2 linked regions of the Oryctolagus cuniculus genome follow. The protein of the gene in region 1 binds, or shares a complex with, the protein of each later gene. Links are inferred from orthologs where the notes say so. Each region holds a gene or a part of one and is shown on either strand. Other genes may lie near its edges. The genes, in order: ARID2 and PBRM1.

What was found.
Region 2: ARID2 (region 1) and PBRM1 share a complex: the UniProt entries of both Homo sapiens proteins name them as parts of the SWI/SNF-B (PBAF) chromatin remodeling complex. The link is inferred for Oryctolagus cuniculus from reciprocal best matches to the Homo sapiens genes ARID2 and PBRM1.

Annotation. Positions count from the first base shown.
Region 1 is NC_091440.1:136,658,115-136,660,999, reverse strand, and holds the end of ARID2 (AT-rich interactive domain-containing protein 2), read right to left. Parts: intron 2,220-2,885; coding exon 2,075-2,219; 3' UTR 662-2,074; downstream 1-661. UniProt on the Homo sapiens protein: Involved in transcriptional activation and repression of select genes by chromatin remodeling (alteration of DNA-nucleosome topology). Required for the stability of the SWI/SNF chromatin remodeling complex SWI/SNF-B (PBAF).
Region 2 is NC_091441.1:97,124,419-97,128,244, reverse strand, and holds part of PBRM1 (protein polybromo-1), read right to left. Parts: intron 1,348-3,826; coding exon 705-1,347; intron 1-704. UniProt on the Homo sapiens protein: Involved in transcriptional activation and repression of select genes by chromatin remodeling (alteration of DNA-nucleosome topology). Required for the stability of the SWI/SNF chromatin remodeling complex SWI/SNF-B (PBAF).

The sequences.
Region 1 (2,885 bases):
TTTGGAAATAAAGAGACAAACATTGATAGGACACAAAATTACTTCAGAAAAATCAAGAATTTTTGGATAGTAAGTGACTAGGAAGCCCCCCCACCCCACCCCCCACCTGATGTCAGTGCAAGCCTCACAGTGCCGGGAGATAATCCTGACTGATGTTGCGTGAGGTTTCTCAAAGCGATCATTTTAGAACTGGCAGGGTGCAGTGCCAGGAACCCCCTTCAGGGAGAAATCAGAGTATTCGATATCAATCGAATCCAAAATTTAAAAATTTGCATGTCCTTTCACTCAAAGAATCTGCCCCCATACTCAGTTTGAAGATTTGTTTTATACTGTGGTTCTGAAGAAACACAGTATCAATAAGATTTCAGGCAAGTGTGCAGTATCCAATAATTTATAAAAAGCGCATATTCAGCACTAACGGCACCACTCAGGCTATTATTTGGGTTTGCTTTGCATTACAGGACACAGAAATCAACCTCAGGGCCATCTCCCATGTATTTCATGCAAATGTGTCATGTAGAGGACCTCCCTCCTCTGCTCCCTAACACTCAACAGAAACAATAGGTAGGTGACCGTTTGGGCCTCGCCTTCAGCTCAACTTAGGATTCTTTATAGGTTTTTAAAAAATAGCTTAGCATACTCAGAAATGAAGGACTCAAGAAAATGTTCAGTCTTTTATTTAAAAACTATAAACAGTCACCAAAGTAAATAAAGCCATTCTATAACAGAAACTGTTAGGTCTATATTTTTTTTAACTGCACATCCTAAGGACACAGCAGAAATCGTGGTTGGGAGGCCTTCCACATTTTTGGATGCTAATAGAACAGGCAATAGGCAGTTATAAATGGGTACATTTCACGCTGGGAGGGAGAAAGACAATTTGGGGAAGTGAGCAGTATCTGAGCAGGAATGTGGTACAGTATTAAGAATGGAGAATTAGACAATAAACCCCACCTCTAGGAAGATAGAAAAGGAGTGGAGAAAGTGTACTGCACAGAATGCATTTACAGCACAGGAGAGCGCCTGTATAAAATCCCATGTATTCAAACCAATTTACAAATACAAAAATTTCTGTCCAAGCTCTGAGCTTAAACATGACAAACGCTTACAGTGGATACATGTTAGGGAAAAACCAAAAAATACCTTCAAAGAGTTTTTCTTCTACAAAAATGACATGAGATATATTACTCCATACTCTTTTCAGCCAGCAAAATGAGTTCTACAAGGTGTATAATACAAAAAGAAAAAAAAATCACAGTCCCACAAAACTGTCTGACTTTACAGCATCAGTACCTTGCAGAAGTATTTACAAAGATTGAAGAACATTCGTCCACTGCGCAGAATATATCACAATTACTTACAATTGACAGAAGTCTAGAAAACGTGAGAACCTATCGGTAATGCTTCTAGGACACCACAGAATGTATCTCCAGTGGCTGCAGCGGCATGAAAGGTGTTCCTTCTATTCACAAATATTTACAAGATCTATTCAGACTGGTAAATTTTTATGATAATAAATAAGTGAAAATATATTGGCTCAAGTAAGAAAACCAAGCTACTGATTTCTAAACAAAACACACAATCCATAGCTAGATATTGGTGGCCCCCTCTGAGACCAGGGGGTATAAGTGTGCTGAAACTTTTTAATTATTCAAACCAGCTTAAACTGTTTAGTAAATATAAAAATGTGCTCCTTTTTGGATATAGATAAAAATATTTAATGCTTCTATTTCATCTGCTCGTGAAGATTTTACAAGATCCCATGTCTACTCCAATGTGGATGGTACTGAATTCTGATCATACCGGTTCCCATCAGGACTTCAGGTCTGAGAGGCATCCTGCAGATGAGCTGATTGACAATCCCACAGCAGTTTTTTTCTTTTTAGATTTTTTTCAAACAGAGAACAAAAGGGATTCGCTCAAAGATCAGAATACGAACTTCCTCTCAACATCAAGGGAGGAGATAAAATAATTCATTCCATGGTCTCTGTTCCATTAAGACTTGGTGCTTTCTTCAGTAACAGTGTGTGAAATGTATCTGACTTGCAGTCCCCACTCGAAGTGGAATTCTGTTTCACTGCAGCATTTCTGAGTCTTGTTCTTGTTCTTTGCTCTGAACTGTGAAGTTCAGTTCATAAAGGCATTTGGCAAGGGTGGAGGAAGCTTCCATGTTACTTATAGCAAGTACTGACAGGTTGTTTTCATGTCTCTTTAGTAATCTGGAAAGAAATACAGAAAGTCATCAGTCTCAAGGTAACAGTGAAGATTCCTGATCCAAAGTTTTACGAGTTTAGGAGCTAGAACAGAAACTGCTTAGCTGCACACCCAGGCCACATCAGTGCAGCATAAAGGAAGTGGCCAGGGCCCCTCAGCGTCTTCCCCGTGCTGCCTTCCCATCTAAGGAAGCCTGCACGGCATCCCTGTCTTCATTCATGCTTTCGGAAGATTCATGTGACAGAGAACAGCTGGAGAGGAATAAAATCAAAGTTCACACCACGGGCCGAGTTTCACAGGATGAAAAGTGACTCCATCTAGCTTGACTTACTCCATTACAGCAGCTGCTTTCTAAAAATGCAGAACCACAGATGTTCCCGGTCCCCGAATCGCAACACTCACGTGCTTTGTCACAGAGATGAGAGATTACAGAAGTGAGTGTGTGACCTTGCGAAGAAGGAGTGACACTGAGCTCACACACGTTGTGAAAAGCAGACAGGATTGGCAGGGTGGAGCAAGTCTGATTGAGCTCATGTTATAAGAACATGAACGGCATAAGCAAGGAGACAGATACATGGATTTTAACTACAAAATGATTTCGAGTTTGCCTTATATGTGAAAACTATTAAAAGATTAGGGGCAAAAAAGCCAGCATTGATATGAACCATGAA
Region 2 (3,826 bases), on another chromosome or scaffold:
CGGGCACCCACGTGGGAGACCTAGAAGAAGCTCCTGGCTTTGGATCAGCACAGCTCTGGCCACTGTGGCCATCTGGGGAGTGGATCAGAGGATGAAAGACCTCTCTCTCTCTGCCTCATTGTAACTTTTTCCAAAAAAAAAAAAAAAAAAAAAAAAGAAGCGTGCCCTCAAGGCTGGTGCTGGGGTATAGCGGGTGAGTCCACCACCTGCAGTGCTAGCATCCCATATGGGCACTGGTTCGAGTCACGGCTGCTCCACTTCCAATGTAGCTCTCTGCTATGGCCTGGGAAAGCAGTAGAAGATGGCCCAATTGCTTGGTCCCCTGCACCCATGTGGGAGATTCGGAAGCAGCTCCTGGCTTTGGATTGGTGCAGCTCTGGTCATTGCAGCCAACTGGGGAGAGAACCAGTGGATGGAAGCCCTCTCTCTCTCTGCCTCTCTGTGTAACTCTCTCTCTCTCCAAAAGTCTGACTTTGAAATAAATAAATAAATCTTAAAAACAAAAAAAAAAAAAAACAAAAAACAGAAAGAAGTGTGCCCTCTCTTCTCCATGGAATATCTCACTCTTGAAGTTCAGCCTAATTAAGTCAGAATAATATGGTAACAACTATAATCACACACATAAGCTGAATCAAAGCAATTTCCACTCAACTGCCTGGCACTAAACATCACATCCTCAAAAAGAAATGGCTTTAAAAACATACCGATTCATCCTTCTTGCCCTTTCCAATACTTCAAACATATGCTCTTGAAATAAATCGAGCCGCCGATAGCGATTATTTTCAACATTTTTCCTAATAATGTCAAAAGTAAGAGGAGGTTTGTTAGGAAAGCTGGGATCTACTGCAGGAATTTCTGCTAGGGAATCACTATAGCATCTTCCCTCATCGTCCTGATGGCTCATGACTGACACGAAAAGATTGTGGATAAGCTCTTGAATCAGCAAAGTCACATTTGGGACGTGAGAGTCCTCATCTCCCTCGAGGTCTCTCCGAGTCTCCAGCAAGACTTTGTGTAAGACAAGGGCATCTTTGTAGATCAAAGACTCGGGCTCATTGTATGTACAGGCGTTGTTAAACATCATGACAAAGTCTTCAACCATAGAGTCGATATCTTGGTACTTGTTGGCCATCATGTGACTTCGAATTTTTTCCATGTCCATGGGCTTTTTAATTGTCAGATAGTAGTCAGGCAGCTCAGATCTGGAGGGAAGTCTCAGAAATATGGCACTGAGGCGCCGACCTCTCTTATCAGTATAGTTCTTTACAGCTTCATAAACTTCATTTAGCTTCTGCTGCATTGGAGTCATATATTTTGATTTTTTAGGAGATATGCCACTCTTCCTACCTAAAGAAAGAAAGAAATTTTATGTTAAATGGATTAAATGAAATAAATGAATATAAATTTGTATACAATTGGTAGCATAACCATAAGAAAGGAACAAGTGATTTGCAAAACACAGTAACATATCTTCAGTGAAATACATTACAAAAGATTATTTAACTGTTTTCAGAAATCAAATTTTTGAACGGACAGTTTGTACTGTCACGCTCAGCTAGCTGTGAATAATGTGGGATACAGCAAGTCAGTAGATACGTGGCATACTTATTCCATCATCTCTGAAACCCCACAGAACTGAGATTTCATTGTGGGAGAAGGAGAGACACAGATGTTAAAACCAAGAACATGGATAAAAGCTCCATAGCCTGGAATCGCAATTGAATGTATCAACTGAGCCACGATGCATTTTATCTTTAAATATAAACACATATACATAGACATGCTCAATTTTTTAGGTCTGTCCATTGAAAGTCATAGAAATAATGACCAGCTTAGTAGAAGTATATCTCAGGACCACAGTTTTAAAACGTTAATTTCAAACAATCCTGGCCTTTTAACAGAAACATACAAAGTTTAGGACTCCTTCACAAATGGCTGACTCCAAGTCTGGTGTATCTTGAAACAACACATTGTAAAAAATCTATCAACTATTTTTTACGATGGTCACATTAAAAGAATACAGGAGCCAGCCTGAGACAACATAAGCATCAATAAGGAGAATAACTAAAATGGATTGAAGTCAGCAATAAAGCTAGCTGTTAATAATGATACATATACATGTAAAACAAACTGGCTGGCGCCACAGCTCAATAGGCTAATCCTCTGCCTTGTGGCGCCGGCACACCGGGTTCTAGTCCCGGTCGGGGCGCCAGATTCTGTCCCGGTTGCCCCTCTTCCCGGCCAGCTCTCTGCTGTGGCCCGGGAGTGCAGTGGAGGATGGTCCAAGTGCTTGGGCCCTGCACCCGCATGGGAGACCAGGAGAAGCACCTGGCTCCTGCCTTAGGATCAGCCCAGTGCGCCGGCCACAGCGCCATTGGAGGGTGAACCAACGGTAAAGGAAGACCTTTCTGTCTGTCTGTCTCTCTCACTGTCCACTCTGCCTGTTAAAAAAAAAAAAAGGACCAACAAAAACGTAGTTAAATATTGGAGGATGGGCCGGCAATGTGGTGCAGTGTGGTTAACACCCTGGCCTGAAGCGTTGGCAACCCATATGGGGGCTGGTTTGAGGCCCGGCTGCTCCACTTCCTATCCAGCTCTCTGGTATGGCCTGGGAAAGCAGTAGAAGATGGCCTAAGTCCTTGGGACCCTGCGACCACGTGGGAGAAACTGAAAGAAGCTCCGGATCAGCGCAGCTCTGACTGTTGCGGCCAACTGGTGAGTGAACCAGCAGATGGAAGACCCCTCTCTCTCTCTCTTTCTGCCTCTTCTCTCTCTGTGTAACTCTGACTTGCAAATAAAATAAAATAAATCTTTAAAAACAAATTGGAGGGGGCCAGTGCCGTGGCTCACTTGGCTAATCCTCTGCCTGCGGCACCGGCACCCCAGGTTCTAGTTCCAGTAGGGGCACTGGGTATCAGTCCCAGTTGCTCCTCTTCCAGTCTAGCTCTCTGCTGTGGCCTGGGAGGGCAGCGGAGGATGGCCCAAGTGCTTGGGTCCTTGTACCTGCATGGGAGACTGGGAGGAAGTACCCGGCTCCTGGCTTCAGATTGGCACAGTGTTGGCTGTAGCAGCCATTAGGGGAGTGAACCAACATAAGGAAGACCTTTCTCTCACTGTCTATAACTCTCTCTCTGTCTGTCTCTCTCTCTCACAGTCTAACTCTGCCTGGCAAAAAAAAAAAAAAAAAAAAAAAAAAAAGAGGGTATTAGTAAACCGATATACTATCATAAAAACTGGTTAAAAAAAAGAGAAAAAAATCAGGCTTTTATTCTTCCAAAACAAGACAAACAAAAAACTGTACCACTGCTTAACCAAATAACAAGGAAAAAAATTCTTTATATAGAAATAATCCATGGGACCAGCGCTGTGGTGTAGTGGGTAAAGCTGCCACCTGCAGTGCCAGCATCCCATATAGGTAGAGGTTCGAGGCCCCCTGCTCCACTTCCAATCTAGCTCTCTGCTGTGGCCTGGGAAAGCAATGGAAGATGGCCCAAGTCCTTGGGTCCCTGCACCCACGTGGGAGACCCAGAAGAAGCTCTTGGCTCCTGGCTTTGGATTGGCACAGCTCCAGCCATTGCAGCCATCTGGGGAGTGAACCAGTGGATGGAAGATCTCTCTCTCTCTCTGCAACTCTGTATTTCAAATAAATAAATACATCTTGAGAAAGAAAAAAGAAATAATTCATCTAATACAGAAGCATGGAGTGATAAAATTGAATCATCACCATTTCATGCCCCTACAAGGAGTGAATGAAATAGAAGCATCAGTACTTGTTCACAACAGATGATCATGTACCACCTGCTGGAAGAGCACGGGTTTCCTGTGA